Linked DNA regions of Caenorhabditis elegans. The protein of the gene in region 2 interacts with the protein of the main gene of each other region in a pairwise test. Each region holds a gene or a part of one and is shown on either strand. Other genes may lie near its edges.

Evidence for each region.
Region 1: the proteins of copa-1 (region 2) and npp-4 interact in a two-hybrid assay, tested with the Caenorhabditis elegans proteins (one large-scale study listed by BioGRID).
Region 3: the proteins of copa-1 (region 2) and copb-2 interact in a two-hybrid assay, tested with the Caenorhabditis elegans proteins (one large-scale study listed by BioGRID).
Region 4: the proteins of copa-1 (region 2) and magu-2 interact in a two-hybrid assay, tested with the Caenorhabditis elegans proteins (one large-scale study listed by BioGRID).

What each region holds. Positions count from the first base shown.
Region 1 is NC_003279.8:14,700,614-14,708,369, forward strand, and holds npp-4 (Nucleoporin p58/p45), read right to left. Parts: upstream 5,910-7,756; 5' UTR 5,908-5,909; coding exon 5,480-5,907; intron 5,437-5,479; coding exon 5,345-5,436; intron 4,524-5,344; coding exon 4,097-4,523; intron 2,845-4,096; coding exon 2,396-2,844; intron 918-2,395; coding exon 697-917; 3' UTR 509-696; downstream 1-508. Other genes in the region: Y54E5A.5 (Polysaccharide biosynthesis domain-containing protein), read right to left, coding at 6,553-6,654, 6,895-7,254; dus-2 (DRBM domain-containing protein), read right to left, coding at 7,676-7,756.
Region 2 is NC_003279.8:2,894,858-2,902,881, forward strand, and holds copa-1 (Coatomer subunit alpha), read right to left. Parts: upstream 6,004-8,024; 5' UTR 5,945-6,003; coding exon 5,899-5,944; intron 5,847-5,898; coding exon 4,841-5,846; intron 3,995-4,840; coding exon 2,793-3,994; intron 2,265-2,792; coding exon 1,957-2,264; intron 1,904-1,956; coding exon 1,045-1,903; intron 983-1,044; coding exon 705-982; 3' UTR 472-704; downstream 1-471. Other genes in the region: gst-43 (maleylacetoacetate isomerase), read left to right, coding at 6,484-6,544, 6,586-6,650, 7,298-7,477, 7,524-7,604, 7,807-7,943, 7,997-8,024.
Region 3 is NC_003282.8:9,457,866-9,464,524, reverse strand, and holds copb-2 (putative coatomer subunit beta'), read right to left. Parts: upstream 4,795-6,659; 5' UTR 4,789-4,794; coding exon 4,627-4,788; intron 4,558-4,626; coding exon 4,069-4,557; intron 4,024-4,068; coding exon 3,890-4,023; intron 3,841-3,889; coding exon 3,608-3,840; intron 3,496-3,607; coding exon 3,180-3,495; intron 3,133-3,179; coding exon 2,781-3,132; intron 2,726-2,780; coding exon 2,484-2,725; intron 2,437-2,483; coding exon 1,599-2,436; intron 1,527-1,598; coding exon 1,386-1,526; intron 1,314-1,385; coding exon 1,218-1,313; 3' UTR 505-1,217; downstream 1-504. Other genes in the region: F38E11.6 (Adenylate kinase), read left to right, coding at 182-211. UniProt on the Caenorhabditis elegans protein: The coatomer is a cytosolic protein complex that binds to dilysine motifs and reversibly associates with Golgi non-clathrin-coated vesicles, which further mediate biosynthetic protein transport from the ER, via the Golgi up to the trans Golgi network.
Region 4 is NC_003283.11:8,798,029-8,802,656, forward strand, and holds the start of magu-2 (MAGUK p55 subfamily member 5), read right to left. Parts: upstream 3,001-4,628; 5' UTR 2,969-3,000; coding exon 2,794-2,968; intron 2,516-2,793; coding exon 2,406-2,515; intron 2,360-2,405; coding exon 2,275-2,359; intron 2,215-2,274; coding exon 2,127-2,214; intron 1-2,126.

The DNA.
Region 1 (7,756 bases), about 12 Mb from region 2:
AATCAATTTTGAGTCCTCTAACTACAAAATTGCCCGTTTTAGTGAAGTTTCAAAATTGTGAATTTTTGCCATAAATTGGCCATTTTTGCCACTTTTTAATAGTTTTTGACGGACTAAACCTAGATTTTCTGAATTTTGCATGTATGAATTACCCGTTTTCAACAAATTTAGACAACTTTTTATTTTTGCCCAAATTTTCTAATGACTGTCCTTTTTTTTTATTTTGGGCAAAAAAATAATTTTCCTGAAAATGTTCAAAACTACTATATTCTGAAAAAGGTCAATTTTTAGCCTGCAGTAATCATACAAAACAACTAAAGTAAGCCCACAGTACCCTTACAGTACCTTAACATCATCCCCACCAACTCCCAACAAAATACCTCTACTAAAGCTAAAAATTCAAATTTCCCAAACTACAATAATTCTACAGTATCCCTACAGTACCCGTACAGTAATCCTTCAATACCCTTATAGTACCTTAATTTTTGATGAAAAATTCAAAAATTTTACAAAAAATCAGATTTCATGGGAAAATTTGCTGTGTAGAGACAATGTAAAATTAAAATCGAATAAGCTTAATGTAAGAATAGGGTAAGAACAGGAAAAGCGTGAGGAATCGAAAGAAAGATCAGAAAAAATAAATATTTCACAAATTAAATAATAAAACCAGTCATCATGAAATAAAAAAATAAATAATTATTTCTTTGAACTGAACAAAAGACCACTGGAATTATTAGCAACAGTCGATGCAAATGGTGTAGTTGTGGTGGCTGGTTTGGTTGATCCGAAGAGTGATGTAGTCGGAGTTGTGGTGGTGGCAGCAGCTGAGGATGTTGCAGTAGAAGTTGTTGCACCGAATAGAGATCCTCCAGAGAAAGCTGGTTTTGTGGCCGTTGATCCGAAAAGAGAAGTTGTTCCTGAGAGAAATTGAAGGTTTAGATTTTAAAAATCATAGATTTTTTGGACTTTATTGCCAATTTTGACGATAATCCTTTTTTGGTTCGGAAATATCGATTTTTCTCATTATTTTGAGAAAAATCTATATTTTTTGTTCCTTCTTGCAATTTCGCGGAAAAATTAAAAAAATTTCTACTATTGTTGTAATTTTGACAAAAAACTGTTTTTTTTTGGTAATTCACAATTTCGATGAAAAATTGTTGAATTTTGGCGAGAAACTTAACGAAAAAAAAAACAAAATTTTTTAACTTTGAACGCTTAGAGTTTTCATTTCATTAGTTGAATTTTTTGTCGGAAAAATTGAGATTTTTTTTTGCAATTTCGACAAAAAATCCACTATAATTCATTTAGAAAACATCGAATAATCAATTTTGGATTTTTCGTAAATTATTTTACCGCTTCAGAAAATACCGAAAAACTCTTTAAAAAAATAAAAAATTTTTTGCAGAAATTGCAGAAAACAAATACTTTTTTCTGAAAACTACAAAATAGGCTTTATTTTTTTGGATTTTTCGTGAAAATTTAAACCATTTTCACAAAAAAAAAATAATTTTTTTAAAAAATTGTTCCGTCAAAAATGCAAGAAAAACCTTTTTTGCCGGAAGACTGGAAAAAATCTTTTTTTTTTTTTTTTTGGTCAATTTTCTTTGAAAATTACAAGAACCAAAAAAATGCGTCAAAACTGCTTTAAAATCGTAGAAATTGCAAAAATTCCAAAGAAACTTTCTTTTTGTTACAAATTCGAGTTTTTTTCACTAAAATTTTTTCTAGTTTTCTCTAAAAAACCGATTTTTTTGAAATTTCATCGGATAAGCATAGATGTCAGTTTTTTTTTCAAAATTTTTGTTGTTGTAACCAAGGGTGTGATTTTTCGATTTTTTCGATTTTTTCAGTGAAAATCGAAAAATCGAAAAATCGAAAAAATCGAAAAATGACACCCTTGGTTACAACAACAAAAATTTTGAAAAAAAAACTGACATCTATGCTTATCCGATGAAATTTCAAAAAAATCGGTTTTTTAGAGAAAACTAGAAAAAATTTTAGTGAAAAAAACTCGAATTTGTAACAAAAAGAAAGTTTCTTTGGAATTTTTGCAATTTCTACGATTTTAAAGCAGTTTTGACGCATTTTTTTGGGTTCTTGTAATTTTCAAAGAAAATTGATAAAAAAAAAAGATTTGTTGTAGAGATGCTGTTTTGTAAGCTTATTTCAAAAATCGAAAATTTTTTTCGATTTTTTCAGGGAAAATCGAAAAACCGACACCCTTGGTTGTAACAACTGCAAGTTACAAATTTGATTTCTCGTCAAAAAATGTTAAAAAAACCAATTTTTCATCAAATTTTGCATTTAAAAAATGCTCAAGAAACTTTTTCTTGAATTTATAGATTTCAAGAAAGCCAAAAAAAAACAATTTTTTTTTTCCTTCAATTCTACACACCAGTATTTCCAAAAAGACTGGTTCCAGTGCCCAATCCAAGCCCTCCAACAGCTGGAGCCGGAGCAGCCGGTGCTCTCAACGAGCTTCCAATGATTGCCAGACTAGATTGTGATGGGAAGAACTCGGCTCCTTCTCTAACAATCATTTCAGAATTCGAAGCTATTGGTGCTGCTGCTGAAGCAGCTGTAGTCGACCATTTTCTCAATTGAGTATATCCTTGTTCAATTAGAAAATCTCGAATTTCTTCAATTTCTTTTCCGAGCTCAGTGACATGATGATGTGCATTCGAAACATTTGCATCACATCTCAAAAAATATGCATCCAGCTCCTCCATTGTTATCGATTTTTCACCGGTTAGAAGCTTCTCGAATCGATTTCTCAGGAAATTCACTCTCTCTTGAAGTGCGTCCATATCATTTCCATAGAAATTGCACAGCTCGGCGAGGTGTCTGCAAAATAGTTGGAATTAAAAAACAGGTGGAGTGGTGCAGGGCGGCTGGAACTTTTCTGGATTTTTCTGGTATTTTGACGAAAAATCCATTTTTTGGGGCCACAAAACCAAAAAATCCAAAAAAAAAAATGTCTCTCGCTTCGAGAATATTCTGTATTAAAATACATAAAAACATGTATTTTAACAGTTGTGACGTCAAAAATGTATTTTGATACATTTTTCAACATTACTAGAATAACCACATTAAAAATAAACTTAATCATCAATTTTTTGGTTTTTTGTTTTTGGTCCCAGCCCTGGTGGAGTGCCGAAATCCGATACTGTCTTATTTTAGATCAAAAATGGCCTAAAACTACCGAATTTTGTTATGAGACGCTCGAAAATCTAGAAAAATGAGCCAAATTTAACAAATCCATCCTTCTCAAGAAAATATACTCAAAAAGGTCCAAAAAAAGCTGAAAAATCCAATTTTACAAGCTTGTAGTGGCTGAAAATTAGTTTTTATCCCCCCTTTTGCATATTTTAGTCGTAATTCTCAAAAATTTCTCAAAAAAAATGCGGCGGCTTAAAATTTTGGAAAAAAATGGTCAATTTTTAGCTAAAATCTCAAATTTTGGCAAATTTTCAGTGTTGAAGCGGTTGTGACTTAATTTTCATTCGATTTGTATCCTTTAATGGAAGTTTTCGCAATTTATTACGTGTTATTTCGTTGATTGAGATGCTTTTTCGGTCGATGCCGGCACAAATATGATAAAGTATCTCAATCAACGAAATAACACGTAACAACTTGCTAAAACATGCATTAAAGTATGATAATCGAATAAAAATTAAGTTCCAATCGCTGCAACACAGAAAATTTGCCAAATTTTGAGATTTTAGCTAACAATTGACCATTTTTCCAAAACTTTGAGCGGTCATAACTTTTTTGAGACATTTTCATAACGAAATTCTTCGGCAGTTTTGAGTCATTTTGGGTCTAAAAAAGTAAAGTATCAAGAATTAACGTTTTTTTAATGTGAATTACGACGAAAATATGCAAAACTTGGCGAAAAATCAATTTTCAGTCACTACAAGCTTATAAAATCGGATTTTTCAGCTAATTTCAGCTCTTTTTCGATATTTTGAACTGCCAGGGGTGGTTTTGGGGTTTTTTTTTCATGAAAAAGACGGATTTGTTAAATTTTGTCCAATTTTCTAGATTTTCAAGTCATTTCAAGACGTTCAAGCGTTAAAATAGCTCAAAAACGAACTCTTTGATAGCATTCATATAAGTAGTCTGATTTGCAGATCCAGAATGCTCTTGAACTCGTTTCGTCGTATCACAAAGTGTTTTATCAGTTGATACAAGATATGCAATCCTTTCTGATGATTGTGTAGCCGTCAGAACATCCCGTCGAACTTCCTCAATCCATCCACGTGTCTTATCGATTTGTTCTTCGATTGCCACGTTGTCAATTGACATATTCTCGGTTTCTTCCATAAATTCTCGATTTTTCTTGAATTTATCCTCGATCAATGGGAGTAAATCTCTGATTAGAGTGGCCGCTTGTGTCCATTCACCGTCTTTCGAGGCATCTTTTGAGTCTCCGGTGCCTGTGAGTGATGACGTGGCAGTTCCTGAAGCATTTGGAAGCCCACCACCACTGCTGTTTTGTTGCTGGATTCCGCCGAGACCCACTGAAAAACAAAATGATTTTCAGGCTGCGCAATCTCAAGGCGGCAAACGATTTTTTCCGGCAAATTGGCAAATTGCCGGAATTGAAAATTTCTGGAAAATGGGAAAACCGACAAATTGACAAGTTGCCGGTATTGAAAAATTCCGGCAAATCGGCAAGCCGGCAAATTTGACGAAATTGAAAAATTCCGGCAAATTGCCGAATTTGCCGGAATTGAAAATTTCCGGCAAACCGACAAATTGCCGAAATTGAAAATTTCTGGCAAATGGGCAAACCGACAAATTGCCGAATCTTCCGGAAAAGCGGCAATTGCCGAAAACTTCCTGCAAATTGCGGTTTTGCACATTAATGTTGGAAATTTTAGAATTTTATTTTTTTCCGGCAAATCGGTAAACCGGCAAATAGCCAAATTGCCGGAAAACGCCAATTTTTGAAGAAAAATCGACAAAATAAAGCTTTTAAATGGATATTGCTTATTTTTCACGCATTTTTGGCTGAAAAATAGGAGGAAAATAAGGATTTTTGATGTATTGTTAGAAAATTTTCCAATTTTCTATAAAATTAGCGTTGTTGAACATAAAAATCGTACTATATTCGATTAAAAACACACTTTTGAGCTGAAAATGTCCGATTTTCAGATTAAAAACGCTAGTTTTGATAACTAAAATTTTGTCGAAATTCGGCGAAAAATAGGATTTCCAAATAAGGAGTTGAAAGTGGCAATTTTCTATTTAAAAAAGCATTTTAGAGCTGAAAATTCGCAAAAAATGGAATTTTTGTGCTGAAAACAGAGAAAAAAGAAGCTCCAGCATCTATACTAACATGGAGCAGCTGCAGTCGCTGGTGGAGCTCCAAATGATGTCGTTGCCGCCGCCGCCGGAGCCGTGCTCGATCCAAAAAGTCCACCTCCAAGCCTGAAAATTCAATTTTAGATGCATCGAAAGCTCTAAAACCAACGTCGGAGCCGCCGATGTGGTCGATTTCGCGCCAAAAAGACCTCCAGTAGCCGGGGCAGTACTTCCGAACAGACTTCCAGTCGCCGGAGCAGCCGTTGATGCTCCAAAGAGCCCACCAGTCGGCGCGGGAGCTGCTGTGGTGGCTGTCTTGGCTCCGAAAAGTCCTCCAGATGGTGATGCGGTGGTTGTTGTCGAACCGAATAGTGGAACTGAAGACGTTGAAGCAGGTGTAGGAGCAGTTGTTGAGCCGAAAAGTCCTGCAGAAGCTGGTGCAGGAGCTGTCTGAGATGCTCCAAAGAGCCCTGATGACATGGCAGCAGCAGGCGCACCGAAGAGGCCTCCAGGCTTTGGAGCAGCAGCAGCCGTTGAGCCAAAAAGAGGTGTTGTTGAAGCAGCTGGAGCCGTGGTACTTGTACCGAAAAGCGACATTTCTGGAAAATTAAATTTTTATGGAGAAGAAAGAAAAGAAATTGGGAAATTATTGATTTTTAGACATTTTCTATTCAAAAACAGAGGTTTTTGATGGTTTTTCCTTCGGGAATTCGAATTTTCGAAGCGAAAATCACTTTTTTTTTTTGACAATTTCGCTCAGAAATCACAGAAAACACTTTTTAACAGAAAAAGTGATTTTTCATGAATTTTGAGATGCTTATCCAGATTTTAATGGAGAAAAAACGGTGGGGATTCGAAAATTGCCAAAGAAACGTTTTTAGCATCCAACATTCGATTTCCGATGAAAAATTATCAAAAATCACGAATTATTCAGGCTAAAATTGAGTTTTAGGGCATTTATCCCACGTGTCTATGAGAAAATTTTGAAAAGTCAATTTTAGCACAGAAAAATTCATCAAAATCGACATTTCTTAGAGAAAAATATCTGAAAATCAATTTTTGGAAAAAAAATAAACAAAAATATAAGTAAAAAGAGCTGGAAAACTCGAGAAATTGGAAATAAATCATTTTTAAAAACGAAGAAATCGGTTTATATGCAAACTACAAGACAAACGACAGGGTGGAAAACGAGAAAACGGGGAAAAATCAACAAAAATTCAAAAAAAAAAACGAGAGAAATTATTACAAGGAGGCGAGCGAATTGCGGTGAGCCGTGTATGCCTCCTTATTCTTCTCGTTGACACCCTCCACGTTGCGTGCCATCTCGATTGCCAGGTAGATGATCTGTAATTAATTATCGATCGATTTTGTATGGGAAAATGAGGGATGAGGGGTTTTTGGCTGGAAATTGAAGTTTTCCCAAAAATTTAAGCTAAAAACTGCAATTTCCAGCAACAAATCATGCCGAAAATCACAAAATCTGAGTTTTCTAGCTAAAAACTGGGCTAAAAACGCAAAAACTGCAATTTCTAGCTACAAATCATGCTGAAAATCACAAAAATTTCCAATTTGGGTCCCACTAACTCTTGGAACAACCACAGTATTTTCCGGACTGTAAGCCTTCGAAGCATGAATTCTCATCAGTGTTCCCATTGAATAATCGTCGACGATATCCTTGAATTGCTCACAAAACTCGCGCCATGTCTCCTTGGCTCCGCCGTCTTTCAGCAAACTCGTCGTCACCTCCTCCACATTCAAATCGGGGAATGAGCTTCGAAATGCGGCGAGAATCGCATCCTGATGCTTGTTGAGCCGAAGAACCCGAGTGTCACACCGCATTATCAGATTCATGTGAACTTCGGACCGTTCGCCGGCTTTGATCGCCCAAGCCATCTCGATCGATTCGTCGTTGACGTATTTATCAGCATCTCCGTAGTCAGTCATTTTGTTACCTGAAAATTTGGAAAATTAGAGAGAAAATTGACTTGAAACAGGAGAATTAGAAGAAAATCATGTAAAAATCTGCAAAAATTGCAAAAATCCAAGTTTTTCAACAAAATTTGCGGAATTAAATTACATTTCTATAATCCTACACACTTAAATAACATTTTAAAGTGAAAATTACGCATGAAAACTCTGAAAAAAGCCTGAAAATCTCTAAAAATTGCGAAATAAATTCGAATATTTTTTAAATTCTCCAAACTCCGCCCATTTGCAACTGCCGCACGGCGTTTTGCCATCCCCGCGCGCGCAGTGGGGATTCGATAATTAATGGAATAAAACCGATTTTAAATGCAAATTATAGCAAAAACAAACAATTTTTCAATATAATTTAACAAAAAAATAGCAAAAAACAAATTTAACATCATTCTTCTTCCCAATTTCCAACCAAAAGATTCCGAATATTCATTCCATGTAAGGCTGCGAGCGCGGCGACCTGCTCAGC
Region 2 (8,024 bases):
TAATTGTTCAGTTTATTCGTGATTTTTGGATTTTTCGGGTCTTTTCCACGTCAAAAATGATTCTAAAATTCAGATTTTATTATATATATTATTTTAAATCAATAAATTCCGATAAAACAATCAGTTTTCAAGGAAATATGTGGACAGACATCATTGGACCACTTAGAAATTGCGAAATTCACTGAAAATTATTGATTAATTCGAAATAACTGAATAATTAGGTATATGTTAACTGAATTCCATGGAAATTTGCAAGAAAAATGAGCCAAAACGCGATAAAATCCTGGCTTTTGCCTTTTTCCGGTGCCAAAATGGTTTGTGTGCATTTTGTCGTAGTCCGCAATACCAAAACCCTAGACTTTACGACAATTTTCTTACTGTATTTTTTTTGAATTTTTTCGAGCAAATTTCTCCATGTAAATTACTGATTTAGAGAACATTTTCTTACCCCAAAGATAAATGAAAAAAAGTAAAAAAATCATGATTTATTCAAATAAAATAGACCAGCATGCAATCATAATCTTTCTGTGGGGTTTAAATAATTTTTAAAAACACATAATTTAAATAGAAAACATGAACCGCCGCCCAACGGGAAAATAATATGAAGGGACCAAAAGCAATGGGAATTGTGGAAGAACAAGGCAAATAAATTACAATAATTAATATCACACAAAAAACGAAAAAATTATCATATTTCACAACTTTTAGCTCTTCAGAGTTGAGATTCGGAGCCCAAGAACATTCTTTCCAACTTCTGCAACCTGGCACACGTTGCACACTTCTCCCTCGAGCCCTTCAGAGTACGATGCTCCACAATACGGGCATTTACAGAGTGGACGTCCACGGTAAAGAGGCACAAATTGACGAGAGCACACGACGAATGGATTATGCTCATCATAGGTCAACTGATGCGCGTCAGTGTTATCCTTCTCGGCGGCAGTCAGCACTTTTCGGATTTGAGCAGCAACTTCTGGTTTTGGAGCTGGAAAAAAAAATTAAGAATTAGAAATAAAATTTAAAAAAATCAACAACGCAAGCACGTACCGAGCTCCAATAGACGTTTGCAAAGTGATGCACAAGTCTTCATTTGCTTCATTTTGAAGAAAGTATTGATAGCAGATCTCAGTGTCAGGATACGATGCATTGGTTGAAGCTCAAAGTGTGTAAAGTAGGCAGCTAGTTCGGCGTTGCGTTTCGCATCCTCCAAATTCGTTTTTGGCAAATCTTTTCGATAAGTTTCAAGGAGAAGTGCTGCAAGATATTCCCGTGTGATTGTGATGAGCTGCTCCGCTTCGGCGACTTCTTGTTTCGAAGACACAACGATCAGTGGAACAGATAGAAGAATCTCCCGCAGTTTCTCGACAGCATCTCCAAACTTTCCATTCGTCGTCATTTGATAAGCCTTTTGCAGTTTCTTTGCAAGTTGAGAAAGTTTGAACGCAGCGACTGGAAGATGATTCTTATCCTCCTGGAAATTACGAACCGGATGAATGGACACTGGTCCAGCTGGTCCGAGTCCTCCCCATCCACGATGTGAGAGTCTAGAAGCTGCATAAGCCTTCACGAATACATCCTTGAATGGTGCTGCTTCAACGACTCCAATTGTATCATGAAGAAGCTTGATGGCAGTTCCGAATGAACCAGCTGCAACATGATCAGCAGCAAGACGAGAAACATTCGGCCATTCCGATGAGACAGCTGGAGCTGGGTTAGGAACCACTTCCTCATCATCATCTCCACCTTGATCATCGGTAACATCAGGAAGAGCCAGATCATCATCCACATCCCATCCACCTTCCTCATCTCCATCAACTGGTCCTTCTCCTTCATCAACATCAAGTTCACCATCTTCTCCGACAAGATACTCATCATCTCCCCATGCTTCATTTCCAACATCACCATCCTGCAAAAATTAATATTTTATAGCTCAGATAGCTCAGAAATCAATAAACTAACATCATCATCCATAACAGCAAAGGCAGCAGCAGCAGGCTTCACACCGCCAACATTAGTTGGAGCAGATTGTCCTCCTAATCCAAGAAGCTGTGCATCGAAAGTTCCTCGAGCCGAGGCAAGAAGTGGCCAATTCTCTTCTAAACGAGCAACTGGTGGTGGTGGGACAAGGAGGCGAGCATTTGGATCAACTGGTGGGATTGGTTGCTGACGACTCTCGAGTTCAGCCTTCAACTCCTCAGCTTCAGCAGAATATCCATGAGTGGCTGCGGCGAGGTAGGCCAGAGAAGTTTGTCCACAGTTTCGGAGCACTGAAAAATTAACTTTATACTTTATTTTGTTGAAAATGACCCAAAAAGTAACGAATTTCGTCATGAAAAATCCTGAAAAGTTTCTGAAAACTCACAAAAAAAGTTATGGCGGTTTTGAGATTTGGAAAAAAACCTATTTTCAGCTAAAATCTCAAATTTTGCCAACTTTAGTGTGTCATTGATTATTACTTTTTAATACATATTTTGGTCGTCTATCACACTTTTATTCGTTAAAACGACCAAAATACGTATTAAATAGCGATAATTGAATAAAAATCAAGTTCCGTCAGCTGCGAAACTGAAAAGTTGGCAAAATATGAGATTTTAGCTGAAAATTGGTAGATTTCCAAATTTTTTTTTGAGAAATCTCATGACGATATTCGGTAGATTTGGACCATTTTTAGGTTCAATAATTTCAAAATCGTCTAGAATTTGCAGAAATTCACGAAAAAAATACGCAAAGAGGAGCTAAAAATCAATAAAACTTTGACTTTTGCCCCCTTCTGAAATCCAGCTGCACATTTTTACCTTTAACTCTCTCCTCAACATCACCAGTGTAGAGAGCTGTCTGGAAATGTCCGTGAGCATCATTTCTAGCCTGTGCAATCTTCATCATCTTGACAAGCTTATCCGTATTTCCAGTAACAAAATACAAAAACGAGAGCTTCTCAAAGTTTTTCGTTCGTTGATAGCTCATCTCAACAATTTGATGATTGCCTTGAAGAAGAGCAGTCTCTCCGAGAGCCTCCCAGACTGCTGGCTCGTCGAGCTTCTTGGCGGCTTCCAACGCGATTTCCAGGTTTCCACATTCAATTGCCAACCCGAAGCGAGTCTTCTCATCCTTGACAAAGTGAAGAGCAATCTCTGGGTAACCCTTTTTCTCGAGATATCCAATGATGGATTGACCGACGAGATTTGCGGATCGAACCATGTTGACAACTTCATCGATTCGTTTGTTAATCAAAGCAAGCTTAAACTTGTAATCAGAATTATCAATTGGAACTTCAACTGGTGTAGCGTCACGATTCAAGCAGTAGAGCACGTTTCCTCGAATAGCCAGAATGTACAGAGGAAGATCCAGAGTACGAACGATTCCACAATCTCCAGAATTGATTGCATATTTGATGTGATTGCTAGTGGTGTAGAGGAATACCGAGTCATCATCCCAAGCTCCACTCTTCACACGAGTCGACTCCTGTTGGGTACACAGAATCTCCAATTTACGGTTGACCAAGGTCAGCGTGTGCTTTGAAAGAAGAGCTGCGAATTCCATAGACTTGCTCCAAATCACATAACGAACTTTCGACACTTTCACTGAAGCAGTCACAATCTTTTGCTGAACATCAAACAGTTGAAGCCCATCATCATTTCTCAAAAGGAGCATTCCAGTTCCGGCATAGAAAATATCGTCGACAGCCGTGTTGATATTCTCGAGTTTGCGAAGTTCCTTGTTCGTCAAATCACGCAACGACACATTCTGAGCCTTGTCAAGAACTGCAAAACGATTACGAGCAACCCAAAGTGCATTGATTCCGGTGCTCTTGACGCACGCAGCTTCAGTGGTTCCATCAGAGTTACTGGCAACTTTGTACAGCTCAAAGGCGCATAGATCCTTATTGTGAGTACGGCTTGTGAGAAGGAAGGTTCCCTCGGCAGGATTGAAGGAAAGAGAGTAGTATGGTTGCATGAATGGTTGTGGGTAACGGAGCTTGCACAGAGCAACATCCTTGCTGAAAATTTGATTTTAGAGGGGTTTTTGCTTGTACATCCCCTCTGAATGTACAAAAAATAACGAATTTTGTAGTGAGAGTCCTCAAAATTTCCGGAGAAAAGCTCTAAATTTAGCTAAGATCTCCAACTTCGTACTGAAAATAACAGATTTTTTAGATTTATCAAATTTTTAGCTTTAAAAATTTTTTTCCTGCATTTTACGAACAAACCTTCTGTTAAACAGTGAAAATCGAATTTAAAATGACTAAAATTAACTTTTTTCGTCCACTGGTTGTGAAATGGGTTGAAATTGAAGAAATCAACGGGATTTTTCTCATTTTCTAAATATTCTCCTATTAAAAATCGGTTTTAGTAAAAAAAAATGGTTTAAAACCGATTTCTAATAGAAAAATATTCAGAAAATCAGAAAAATCCCGTTGATTTCTTCAATTTCAACCCATTTCACAACCAGTGGACGGAAAAAGTTAATTTTAGTCATTTTAAATTCGATTTTCATTGTTTAACAAAAGATTTGTTCGTAAAAAGCAGAAAACATTTTTTGAAAAGCTAAAAATTTGATAAATCTCAAAAAAAACTCTGCTATTTTCAGTGGAAGTTGGAGAATTTAGCTATTGAAATTACGCCTTTTTTCCGATTTTTTGGAGGCTCTAAATACGAAATTCGCTTAATGGGGCACATTTAAAGTTTTTCATTTAAAAACTACTGAGACTCCACAAAAACATGATTCAGTGCGCCGGAAAATGCATTTTCGCAACTCTCGCACGCTTTTTTTCGCAAAAAAAAAACGCTAATTCTGTGCAAAAATGCATTTTGCGGCACACTTTTCTTGGCATCAAACTACTCACTTGGTTGTCAAATCGAGCTTGCGAATTTGTTGTCCCTTCACATAGAAAACCAAATTATCACTGACACAATAAGCCGGGCGTTCTCTTTGAATTTTAAAAACGACCATTCCATTGTCATGTCCTGCGGCGAACATGTTCAAGCTTGGATGGGCGGCCAAAACCCAGAAACGCTCATTTTCATGTCGGAAAACGTGAAGACTGGTACGCTTCTGCATATCCCACACACGAATCGACTTATCCTCCGAGTTGGAAAGAATCAAGTCAGCATTTGGATGGAAGATCACAGATGAGACGTTATTGTAGTGTCCACGGCACGAGTCGAGCTCCCAGGCTTTCGTCTCATTGTAACGCCAAATCTTGACTTGACGATCATCGGATCCCGAGACTAGAATTGGATTGGTATGATGGAATGCAACCCAGTTGACTCCACGATCGTGTCCCTCTAGCACATGCTTCACAACTGCATCAGGTTGCCCGAATAGCTCAGCTTGTTGCCCTCCGGTTGGCCGGCTTGGAGCACCTCCACCAGGCATTTGCTTCTTCCGAAGTCCAGAAATATCCCAAACACGGACGGTCTGATCCAAGGAGGCAGAAGCCACAAGATCTTCGGTTGGGTGGAATTGAGCACACATGACGTAGTGATTGTGTCCGGTGAGGATGGCGATCGAGTTTCGGCTCTGCCAATTCCAAATCCGAACCGTTTGATCGTCGGACGCAGAAATGATCCATGGATACTTATGATGGAAGAAAGTGGTACGAATATAATCCAAATGTCCGAGAAGTGTGAAAATACAGCGTTTCTGCTTGTAATTCCACACTTTAATCTTATAATCATCTCCTCCAGACACAAAGATCGGCTGATCATGATGGAAGCAAATTCCTCTCACTGGACCATCGTGCTCGTCGAACTTCTCGAGAAGAACGCACATTCGGTAGTCCCAGAGTTGAATGACTCCACTGTGCAGCGATGTGAGCACCCATGGCCGAGTTGGGTGGAACGAAATTCCTGGAAAATTGGGAAATTATTGAAAAATAATGCCAAAAACCAAAATATTTACCTTTAACCCTAGCGGATTTTGATTCAAATTTGATAAGGAGCGACATGATATCCGATTTATAGTCGGTAACCAGTCAAAAACTGCTCCTCGGCGTGAATGAAGGTTCTGAAATTATGGAAATGACACGTGGATATATAAGAATGTTTAAAAAAAACAGACAAAAATGCAAAAAATCAATGAAAAAACTTGGAATTTCGATTAAATTGATAAAGAAACTACGAAAAATACCATAAAAATTAAGAATTTCAGAGATAAAAATCGGTAAATCCACGTTAAAAGAGACAGAAAATGGAGAAAAGAGGACAACGTGGAAACCTGCGCATCAAACGGAATGTGTGCAAACACGGCGACGCGAAACTGCACAGTTTAGGAAAAATGACCGTTAAAGGGGAATTTTAAGTGGGAATTGACATAAAAAAGTGCTGAAAATTGAGGAAAATGGAGGTTTTATTCGGAGAAAGTAGTTTTTAACTGAAAAATTAGGGTTTTTGAAGATTTTTCCCACGTGTTCATATTTAATTTCTTCTCAAAATGTCATTTATTGCTTAAATATTTCAATTTTCTTCTTTAGAAGCTTCTAACTCCATGGCAAAACCGATTTTATATTCATATTGGCGTTCGTCGTGTGCCTGGAGAGTTCGCATCGGTAATTTTAGCTTGGAAATTCTATAAAATACTGATTTATAGCACTTGCTCTGAAAAATATCGACTACGAATACCGGCCAATCGACTTATTTTCTGAAGAATCCAAGGTTAGAAAATTTCCGGCAAATTGGAAAATTGCCGGAATTGAAAATTTCCGGCAAAATTCGCCAGAGCGGCAAATTGCCGGGATTGAAAATTTTCGGCAAATCGGCAAAGTGCCGAAATTTAAATTTCCGGCAAAATTCGGCCTAGCGGCAAATTGCCGATTTGCCGGAAAAAACCACAATTTGTCGAAAACTTTTGGCAACGGTAAATCGGCAATTTGCCCAAAATTACAATTTCCGGCAAATCGAAAATTTAATGAAAATCAAAATTTTCGGGCAAATTGGAAAATTGCCGGAATTGAAAATTTTCGGCAAATTCGGCATATTGCCTGAATTGAAATTTCCAGCAAATTGCTAGAATTGAAAATTTCCGGTAAATTGGAAAATTGCCGGAATTGAAAATTTCTGGCAAAATTCGGCAGAACGGCAAATCGCTGATTTGCCGGAAAAACACAATTTGCCGAAAACTTTCGGCAACTTGTGGTTTTGCACATTTTTTTCTGGAAATTTCAGAATTTCAATTTTAATCGGTAAAATTCGGCAAACGGTAAATCGGTAAATTGCCGGAATTGAAAATTTCCGGCAAACCGGCAATTTGCCATCCACCCCTGCCCTACTCCCACTTCCATAGAAATATAGCTGTATTTCAGAACAATGCAGAGTTCGTCAAGCACAACCCAGCGAAAAAAGTTCCAACTTTAGTGATAAATGGCTTATCACTGACAGAAAGCTTGGCAATAATCGAATATTTGGATGAAGCCTATCCGGATCCTCCGTTCCTTCCAAAAGAATTGGATAAGAGATCGTATTCAAGAGCTATCGCACTTCATGTGAGCTTTTAACATTCTTTAACAACTCTAAGCGAGCTCTTTTCAGATAGTCGCAAGTATTCAGCCACTTCAAGCAATCAATATCCACAAAATGCTCAATGAAAAGGAGCCGGGATACGGTGACTTTGTGGGTTCTCACGTGGTGTCAGAGTGTCCCATGTCGGGTTGATCTACCTAGATCTACAAAAAATGCGGGAGAAGAGACGCAGACTTCTAGAACGTGCTGCTGACGTCACATTTTATCGGTGAAAAAAATTTCCGCATTTTTTGTAGATCAAACCGCAATAGGTTCCAAGAGGCGTTTCCCGATAGTTCAAAATGTATTTCAGTGGTGCAATCACTTTGTGAACAAGGGATTCTTAGCTCTCGAAGAACTTTTGAAGAAGCATTCTGGGAAATATTGTGTTGGAGATCAGCTTACAATTGCTGATATCAACTTGCCATCGATAATTTATAATGCGAAAATGTAGGTTATTTCAAAATTTTGAATTTTTAAATTAAAAATTTTGAAATTTCCAGCTACAAAGTCGACATGTCCAAATATCCA
Region 3 (6,659 bases), on a different chromosome or scaffold from region 2:
GCGGGACAAAATTAATCACATGTTTTCGTATGAGTGATGGATCGTAAAAAATCAAGGAAATGTGAAATGTGTAGATTCAAAAATAAACATTTATGAGAACTGAAAAACTAGGTTATTTAAAGAAATCTCACAAAATTTCGACATGTTATATCATATTGTTATAGTATCATGATCATTTCAGAAAGAACAAAGCCAACCACGAGACAGTTGACGGGGTGGCGTCGAGTCGGAAACATTAAACAAGCGGCGAAGCGAATCTTCCGAACGAATTTCAAGACATACTGAAGAGCCACCAATGGAAAGAGAAGCTCGTTCAGTTTCGGCTCAACCTCGTCAAATGGGATTCCGTGCCAAAAATCGTATCGGATTGTCGCCGAATACGCTTTTTCCGTATTGAAATCGGCTCGACGCCTCTTATCATTTTGCTCCTTTTTTGAAGTGCCTTTTGATTATCACTTGTGTAGACATAAATATCTACAAATTGTTCCTGATCAGCCACACATACACTTTCTGTTCCGTTTATTCAAACACGGTTAAAAGAAAAAAAAATCATTTCAATCAATAAAACTCTCATTACATCATTTTTTCGTTAACACGAAAGTTTTGGGGAGGATGATAGTAGAAGTGGAAAAAGCCATAGAACAAAACTTCGAAGAAAACCCCTAGAATACAAAAAACACCGCACAAAAAAGCTGGAAATAACTTAGTGTTTACTTATAAATCAGAAAGGGCGATAAACATAAAAATTCAATAAGTTATGTGATTTTGAAGGCAGAAATATGAAAACGGGGAGGGATGAATTGGGTGGATAGTTGGCAAAGGGAGCTTACGACAGGAGTGACCAGTAGAAATAAAAATCACAAAAAAAGACGAGTGCGCCAAAAACACTATAAATTACATAATTATTTGATAAGAAAAACATTATCACATTCCCATAATACTAATTAACAATTTCCCAAAGAATGTTAGAGAGTGACCGACACCAGATGGGTTAGAAAAAAACCTCTTTTTGGGGTGAAACATGAAAAATAAAATAATTATCTATCGATCGATCTGCTCTGAATCATTCGTCAAAAAATTGTGCATGAAATTACGGATGGAATGGGGACATTGATAGGACGGGAGGGGGGGGGGGGGGGGCTTAAATTACATACACAAAAAAATAACACTGATACTCAGTCTTTCTGATCTTGTTGGGCAGATCGATCGACTACCAGTCAATCTTCCTCGTCTAAATTTAGATCGTCCATATTCAGGTCTCCATTTTCAGCATCTCCAAAATCTTCATCTGACCATTGCGTATCATCTTGGAACTGTAATTGGATTAATTGATTGAATTTTCGCAGTTTATATAATTTTCAAAACATTTATAAATAAATACTTACATCTTGAGCAGATTGTTGTGAAGACGCGGAAACCAAATCTGGAGCGGCGGACCCCCGTGGTGGGACAATATCAGGCCGGCTTGTCTCAAGAACAACATCAGGAGTTTTAGATGTTCCATGAGCATCGGCACTTTCTTGATTCTGAAAATAAATTGGTGATTCTAGCAACGAATAGTCAAATTCCATATGAATAAAAAACTGTTCAAAACGTACAGCTGGAACATGCACCTCTTGCTGATCATCATCGAATTCTTCCTGTTCTTCCTCTTCTTCAGGTTCAGGTTCGCGGATCGGTGATGGCTCACGAATAGGGGATGGCTGGCGTACAGGCGAGGGTTGACGTGCAACTGATGGAGGAGGTGGAGCTTTCAATTGTGTCTCGGTTTGTCTTGGGGCATTCTTAAGTACTGCTTGGCCATCATCAGTAAAAGAAACTGCTCCCGAAGCAACAGCTTCATCCAATTCCTCTTGAATATTCCGGGTAGCAGCTGATGGCACTCGAACGGATGCTGGGACTGGAATCTTGGAGATCTCACGAACGAAAGATTCTGCTTTCAGTGATTGGGTAAATCCAGGGAACAAGTTTTCATACTTCACTGGATCGGCAAGAGATTCTCCAATCTTTCTGCTACTCTTTTCGCTGTGTCCCGAAGCCTTGGCTTTCCACAATTCAAGAATAGATGAAACTCGAGACGGCGCATGTGTTCGAGCAAGGAACGCTGCTTCTGGGAGGCGACCAGTCGAAATAAGTTTGTCTAGACAAGCATCAATATCTCCAAGAAGCAAACTACTGAGGAAGCTGATATTGTGGCTTTCGGCAGCAGCAGAGTCATCCGCAAGTTTCTGAAGAAGAGGAGCTGATCCGGCACACGTTGCAAGAAGCATTAGACCTCCGAAATCGCGAGCTCTTCCAAGACATTCACCAGCAAGAAGAAGTTCCGACTTAAGAGTGGCGGCGTTGCTGAGAGCCTTCCATTTCTCTTCTGAATCGCTTTGCAGTGCCAAATCGTAGGCAGTCTTCAAATCTCCAAGAGCTACCGAGAGATCGAATCTGAAAACGTTCCAAAATTATTGCTGAAAAGCTGAAAATTGTCTTACTTGTGATCAGGGTCTTGAGAGACCGCAAGAGCCTGCTTCTTGAATCCTTGCTTTTCGAGGAAATGAGCAACACGAGTTCTCTGCTCTTTTGGAATTGTAGTAAGTACCTTGTCAGCAGTATCGAAGTCACGGCGCATTACAGCAGTTTGATATTCAAGAACAGATAGAAGAAGTTTGTATGAGATCACGTTGAGATCCTTATCGACGGCATAGACTCGAGATTCCTTAGCCATGTATCCCAACTAAAATATTTAAGTTTTAAAAATGATAAGAACAACGCATGTTTTAAAATCTCACCAAATAAAGTGGTCTATCAACATGAGCAATAGTGACAATTTCTCCACCGACATAATAGTTGATTCTATTGAGTGCAGTGGTGAAAATAAAGCAGTCCCCGATCCAGAATCCCGTCTTCACAGCTTCTGCCTGTTCTCCAATAACCTCAAACGCGTCTTCAATACCGTCTTCGGTCACTTCTGTTGCATTGGCAACTGCTTCAGCACTGTACTTGAGAACGTAGAATGAATCATCTCCACAAATTGCGACCATCTCTCCGTTGTCACTCCAATAGATGCTCTTGGAAGTAATTTCGATACGACGAACAAGAACGGCTGATTCCCAATCAAAGAAGCACAAAGAGTTGTTCGATCTGAAACAAAAAATTAAATAAAAGTCAATTGATAAGAGTTCAAAAACCTCAAGGCAAGAAGTGGTCCACCAGAAATTCCCTCAAGTACCATATCTGAACGAATTGACTTGTGATCCTTGAAGTTCTTCTTTATCTTCACATTGGTGGCAGATTCACGGACAGCAAACATATTTGGATCAACAGCCCAGACAAACTCGAGTCCTTGTCCGAAATCCTTGTTTCTGAGAGCCATTGCAGTATAAACAATGTATTCTCCGTCACCACAAGCGACAACAAAACGTCCATTAGATGAATGAGCAAGGGTTTGTGGATAGATTTCAGAAGATCCGAGATCTTTTACAGAAAGCGGCAGACGTTCTCCATCTGTAAATGAACTGTCTTAGAGTGATAATAAATGAACACAATTTCTCTTTTTTTAATACTTTCAGAAAACATGTGCCGAACTATACAAAAGTCGAATGAAAGTTTTCCAAACCTTGAATGGCTTCCGACTCTTCAGTTGAGATTGTCTTCAGGTTAGCTTGCTGAATTTCGGAGTGCTTTGCCCACAAAATCTTTCCAGACGAATCCATACTGACTGCTGGTTCTTCTCGGCCTAATTTCAACGTGACGGAACCTTCGTCGTATCCGATGGCAATAGTGTTGGCTCCTTTTTGAGCTTGGATGCACCAAACACGTTCCAACCCATAATTCAAGGTTGTTTCCAGTCTAAAAATTTTAAATTGTTGTTGTGGAAATCGTACTTTAATGTTCTTGCCTGTAGGTGTTTGCATGCCACAATCTAACAGTGGAGTCTTCGGATCCTGTGATTATCAATGGCAGTTCTGGGTGGAAACAAACTGAAGACACATTTTGCGCATGTCCATCGAGCGTTTGCACACACGTTTTATTCTGAAAATATCATTTTGGATGAATGCAAAGAGAAAAAAAACTTACTTGGTAATCCCAAATCTTGACCAGATGGTCATCAGCTCCAGAAATAATGTATGGTTTCTCTCCACCATGATAGTAATCGACACAGTTGACTCCTTTCTCGTGTCCTTCCAAAGTGAAATTCGGAACATTCGATCCGAACTGCCATACTTTGACAGTTTTGTCAAGAGAAGCAGTTGCAAAAGTGTTATTATCTTTTGGATTGATGGCAATCTGCATGACATAATGAGTATGCCCTTCGAATGACTGTTTCATTGCCCATTTGTTATCCCAATCCCACATTTTAACAAGCATGTCGTCGGATGATGAAATGACGTAGGGAAGTGTTGGATGAACAACGAGCGATCGGAGATAATCAGAATGTGCTTCGAATTGATGAACTCGTTCCAATGTGTTGTAGTTGAAAACTCTAATATGCATATCGTCAGATCCCGTGACAACCCAGCTCTTTCTTGGAACGAACTTCGCTGCACGAACTGGTACGTCACACACCTGCAAAATTTAGATTCAGTTATTTCGTAATTTCATGAAGTTTGCACATAAATTTGAAAAAAAGCTTACTTCAAATGACTTTACAAGCGTTTGTGTTTCGTAATTCCAGATGTGAACATTTCCATTGTAAAGAGCAGCTAGAAGCCATGTTTCGACTGGATGCAAGTCGACACATTTCACGCGGTCCGAACGAGCCAGAAGCTTTCTTTTTACATCAAGTCGGAGAGGCATCTTGTTCTGAAAAAAAGCTAAAATAAATAAACTCAATGTAAAATTAAGCTGAGCACGAAGAGGAAGATTTGCAAATAGTCAGCTTATAGAAATAAAATAAAACCGAAAGAACATTCAAAAATCGATAATATTCTGGATTTTTAGAATTCAGATGTTTAAATCAACCGAAATTAATCTTTTTTAGAAGAAAATCTTAAAATTCATCAAAAGATACGTTGGCGAAACGATAGAACACTCAAAAGGTAGAGGCGCATCCATCGCCAACTCAGAAAGCCCCGATCGTATCGAGACCACAGCGGGAAAGTCGGCGTGCCTTTGACTTTTTTGTCTGCGTTTCTCACATTTGTGAGGTGTCTCTTACGAACGGTGGCTGCTTCGTGGCAGATTTTATAAATAAAATTGCATTCAGGAAATGTTGTAAAATGAATGAAAAAAAATTACGAGAAAAATCAACTTTTTTTGAAACTGATAGTGAAGTTGTTGAATGTTTATGCAAATTTTGCTCTGGACAACCTTAAACGTTTTAGATTTTTCAAAAAACTCAGTTATATCTTAAAATCGAAGAGGCCCCCTTTGCAGCCTTAGTTTTACCTGATTATGGCAATCTTCTTGCTTATTGTTGTGTTCTCCACAATGTCCAAACCAAGAGCAATATTATAGTAGAAAGAGTACTCGATACGAGTCAGGAATAATAAGAATAACCGATTTTGCTCGTTCTTTTTGTAAATTATCAAGAGAATTTACATAAATTTAGCTAATTATTTATGTAAAATGTGTGTGTGTGTGTGTGTGGAAATGGTATGATTCTTATAATATTGACAACACAATGCTCAAATACAAATAATCAAAACGTAATGCAACAACTGGTAGAAAATAAATAGCTTTCTGTGGGACTTCAAAAATATGGAACTTTTGGTCATTTTCGTTGTGGTTCCATGGTACGAACCCATGTTCATACAGGGTGGGCCAAAAGTATGGTAACACATGAAGCGCTCTTTTACATGAGATTTTCGCGCGACTGCCACGTCATACGTACATTTTTCTATCGAATACTGATAGCTGAATAAATTTCCTTCAATTTGACCCAAAATTTGTAATGTTTCCCAATAAGGTGCGATTTTAATCACCTCGGCAATTTGGCGAACCCTTTTTAAAACGGCATTTTGGCACGCGGCACTTCCCACACAAACGCACCTCCCACGCACGCCAATAATTTTCAGATGTATGATTTTTATGTTAAATTGAAAGTTAAAGAAATGAAGAAGCGTTTTTGATTGTTTTTGTAGCATATAAAAATTTTCTGTGTCGACACTGGCGCCTAGCAAGAACCTTTGAATATTTCATGAATTAAACTTTCCGAAATTTACTCAGTTTTTTTGGTTTCACAAGGCGTAACGACCCACAAAATCAGCAGAGCTAATTTTTTTCTAAAAATTCTGAAAATTCAGGTCAAACCGTGCCAAAAAGTACTAAAATGAATACTGGTGCCGCCGCTCACATCCATCTTTCTGGCGACTGTGTCATTCAAGACCTAAACTACTGCCACAGTCCGTACAGAAATACCACGATAGAAATTTTTTGGATTTTTGTTTTTAAAGAATCTCCAGACCAAGAGCATTCTTTGAACTATAAAAACTTGTAAGATACTTGATGGATTCCTCGAGAAAAATGTAGAAATCCCGCAGAATGCCGACTTGCGTGCCATAAAGATCGTGATCTCAAAAGTTCTGAAGGCCTGCAGCAATGCGGATGGGGATATTTTGAAAATTCAAAACGTTAATCTGGTCAGTATTTTATGGAGAACAAAACTTGTACACATTGATGTAATAACTCCCTCCACACGTGAAGTTATAGAGCTGCAAACGTGTTAC
Region 4 (4,628 bases), on a different chromosome or scaffold from region 2:
TGCTGGTCACCCAACATCAACCAAATCTAGTCCTAGAATAATTCCCCATTCAGCCTGACTCTCTTCATGACAATTGTATACAAAGTGGTGCAGGTTGAGGGAAAAGAGGAAGGTGAGAGTGAGTGAGGGTCGAAACAATAGACGGTATTGTAGTTGTTCACACACAGTCCGTATTGCATCTTCATCATCTTTCGTGCGCGCTTCTTCTACTTTTATGTTTGCTCATCACCAGCTTTACATTTGAGGTCCCGTTTGCGCATCCCTTCCTATTGGGGAAAAGATGTATACAAATACATATTTATGAAAACCACGATTTAGAAGGTGGTGGCTATGATGTATAAATATTTTTAAGCAATGATGAGACATATCGGGAAAGTAGCAAAACACTAAGAAAATGAAAGGTTCTAAAAATGAATATTACATATAGTAGCTGAAAAAATAATTTTTGAATCAACAATATTTAAATTATACAGACTAATTTCTAGAATTCGAACCCAATATATTTCCAAAAATTGCAAATTATTCCTATACTCCTTGAAATTTTCGAAACATTAGAAAAGTAATAAAATATCTTCTGCTCCACTGATAATGATAACTTAAAATAATTTGCCACTTGATAACAAATATAAAAGCAAAATTTTGTTAAAGTCGCGATAACTGTGTCCATCACCAAACAGTTAACCGATCCACAACTACACAAAAACCGTACCGTCCTCAAAAATTTATGATGCATGAAATTTGCACAATGATGACAAAAAGAGGAACGGTTAGGGTTGAATGGAAAAAAAGAAAGTGTAAACGGATTCAATAATTATTTGTTAAATTTTTGGGTTTGGAAAGAACGGTGCAATTGACAATTGTCGACAAGGAAAAGTGAGGAGACGAATGGAAAGCAATAAATGGTTTATGTCAATAAATAACAATGTGTGTCTAATGTGTTGGAGTTTGATGTATTCGTTATGACCTTTCACCCATTTTTGGAAAGGTATTCCCCCGAAAATAAAATTCTGTGACTCTTTGTAATTTGAGAGAACGGCAGTCGTTGCTCCTTATTCAATTTTTGACGATTGAATTAAAGTTTTGCAGAACATTTCCTTTGAAAAAGTGTGTTGAAATTTTAGCTGCAGCTGTATAAAATCTTTTTCTGATAGTTTCAGTCGTGCTAAAAGGGTGCTAAAAGTCATTGCTTTTCAAAACATACAAGAATCAATAAATTGAAAGTAACATGTTATTCCAAAGCTAGGCAAGAGTTTAGCTAACTGTGAACATACAAAAAATCTCAAAAGCGTAGTAAATTGTAATAAAGAACTGTAACGTTCTGAAACCCTAACAACCTGCAATTATCACAAGTCAGACAACCTTCGAAACGAAGAGAACACAGAATTTGAGTGATGATAGTTTTTTGATAAATAGTGTAATGAGACAGAAACATTTAAAAAGTTGATGAAAGAATAAGAAAAAAGGAATGAGAAAGAGAGAATGAGTGTGATAAGCGCAATGGGAGGTTCTATTACTTGAAAATGCCACTGACTGTGAAATAGAATATCAGGGAGACATAAAAAAGAATCGCCAGGTTGACTGATTAATCACTAGATTTATTGATATATTTGACGACGGAACTCTCCGTTTTTTCTCTTTTTTTTTCTCCATTTTTTGTCTTCACCTTGACAGATTATTGGTTTGTGACATACTAGACGTGCCGACTAACTGTGTGAAATACTAGAATGTGACCTATATAGTTGTGAAGACTGGACGAACGAGAATTCCAAATTAGCTCACATTCATAATCTCAGTGTTTTTGTGTTTCCCTGCCCGTCAGAAAGTTTCGAGGCCATTAATTAATTTCTAGAAAGCAGGTCGACGAGTGAACAACAAAGATTTTAAAGAAAATGAAGAGAGATGAATTTTTTAAGTGAAATGAAATAAATATGAGAACTTTTCAAGAACATTGATTTGCCAAAAACCAAATCTTAGTGGTATTTGCACTATTTGTCATATATTCACTGTTTATGCATATACCATAAATAGAGAGCACTTAAGAACTCTTCTTTCCGTTCTTTACACGTTCCGCTTCTCACAGATAGTATCGCAGAGAAGAAAATCTCTCTCAAAAAAAGATTACTCACTTTTTCAGCCGTTTAGTAACTTCCTTGATATGATCCTTATCCACGGAAACTAGATATGCATCCGTTATCATACGATTCGAATTTGTGCCTGAAATTAAACAAAAACTAAGTATTAAAAAGGAAAAAGTATAAACTTTTTTTTACTCACAGTTAAAAACAGAAGCTTCATTTTCTGCTGGAATTTCTAATGCACGACGTCTAACTTTCAGCTGAATGATTTTTCGACGAATACACTGAAATTTGAAATTTTGCAAGAAAGTATCATAAATTTTATCAAACTTCTTGAATATAAGTTGTGACTTCCTCATAACTTTTTCCTTCTATTTTCATGTCATTTACCCCAACGATTTCATCTCCAATGCTCAATCCTGCTCTTTCCGCAGCAGTTCCTGTAATGGAAATCGATTATTTTTTCAGAAGTCTGCATAAAATTTGTAAAGCACTTTATATCTGATTTCCAGACACCTTGAAAAAAGCGAAAAAAATTGCGATATAGGTTAAAAAAACGCCCACTTTGCCGATGCCATCAACGATTTGGAGAATCGCATTAGTACAAATGTTCGTTGACAAAATTTCAGTAAAAATTCATCAAAATTGCAAATTATTTCAATAAAAATACTTCAAAATGTTTTTATAAATTAGTCAAATAAAATTATCTTTTACTTACCGTACAGCCGAACAACCTTCTCTTCTCGTTCAACCAAAATTACAAAACCACTCAACGGCGTCGAAGTGCTCACAACGGTCTTCTTATTTCCAACACCACGTGCACTGCTCAACCGTCTCAAGGATGTCCTTTTCAAGTCGGACAGTGCCTGTGGTATCGACACCGACTTGGACATTTGATACTCGAGCCACTAGATGAAGGCTGAAAATTTTTTGGGAATATTATTTCCAACGAAAGCGAAAATAAGAAAATGAGAATCCAAATTTCTGAAAATAAAGCAATAACTGAATCGGAATGGAATTTATGAGTAGGTGAAATGAAAAAAGTTGTTTTGAAATCTCGTGGTTTTCATTTTGAATGATGAATGCTAGGATTCCGGGATCTGCTCAAAACTTGGATCTAAAAATAATCATAAACTTGAAACAAATGAATAGAAATGTCAGAATCACTCGAAAAACTGCTACTTCATGTAAGCGTTGTTGCGTGAATAATTGAGACAGAAAAAGAACCGAGAAGAAGAGTTGTGATGAGTGCACTTTCTTAGTTAATTGCTTTTTTTCTTTTCTTCTGCAATTGTTTTTTGTGTTTCAAGAGCTTAAAGAGGAATGGGGGATAAGAACTAAAAGACTTGAAGCGCTTTTGATGAGATGGACTTTTTGGGGTAAATTGGAAAAAGACCGACAAAAATGGGAATAGTTGAAGAGAAAATTCAAAATAACAAAAAAAGGGAGCTGTGTATAAGGGGTACTGTATGTCTTAAAGTTGAGAACAGAGGTTATGGACAAAAAAATAATCTTAAAGTTATCTGAGAAAGTTACGGTATCATAGAACATATTTGCCAGATAACAAATTTCTAAATTGTTGCCAAATTAAAAATGCAATCTTAATTATTGACTCACGAAAAGCACAATTAAAAGACTCCACATATCAATACAATATTTTTATCTGTAGTGACATTTTCTAGATTGATAAAAACAGCTACTTTAAAGATTTTGAAAGTAAATTTTAAGTTTTTCCTTTGAATTTCAAAAATACACTTCTAAAATTAGGCATATCAGTGAAAGTTTGCGTATTTCAAGGAAAACAGTAAGTGCAGCTGTCAAGCATGCTGCAAGCAATTAAAATTACACACACTCTCTAAGAATTCATAAAATTGTCTTGTCACGTTTGTTCAATCAAAAAAGATGAGGTCTTCAAAGTATCCATGAGCTCAAGACACACGGAATGAAGCACTAAATAATAGCTTTTCCCGGGGATAAAAAATTGAACGAGACAGATGAAAACAGTGGTCCAGATTGATGATATTGACATTCATTCCACTAGTTCAGTGTGACAGGGAGATGGATAGATTGGGAATGAAAACTGGATGAGAGAGCTTGAGATTTAGAGTGACAAATAATTATGGGGGATCCTCTTGAGAGAATCGCACCGAAACTATGTGCATCGTGTCCGGCAGAGGGAAACTAAAAAAAAAGATTTTTGACGCCATTGGTGTGTCTTCTGTGTCTTTTTCCACAGAGTCTCGAGTATAAAAAGTGAGAACGAAGAAGATACAGATAGTCGAGGATGGGGCAAAGAGAGAAAGGAAGATGGCGGTGTGGGTGGGAGAGCACAAGAAGGTCCAGTCTGGGGACAGAAAGAAGCACATGGAGCAAGAAAGAGAAAAGGAGATGGTGAATTGTGACATTCGACCCGCAGGGATTTGAAGAGACGCAGGCCGCATAGAAAGAACAAGCTATAAGATAGAGAATAGCCAGCTGATTAGTGCTGATTTCATTGATCAGCTCATCTATCTTCAACATGTCGTCTTGTAATTTTCTCTGAGACAAATTACG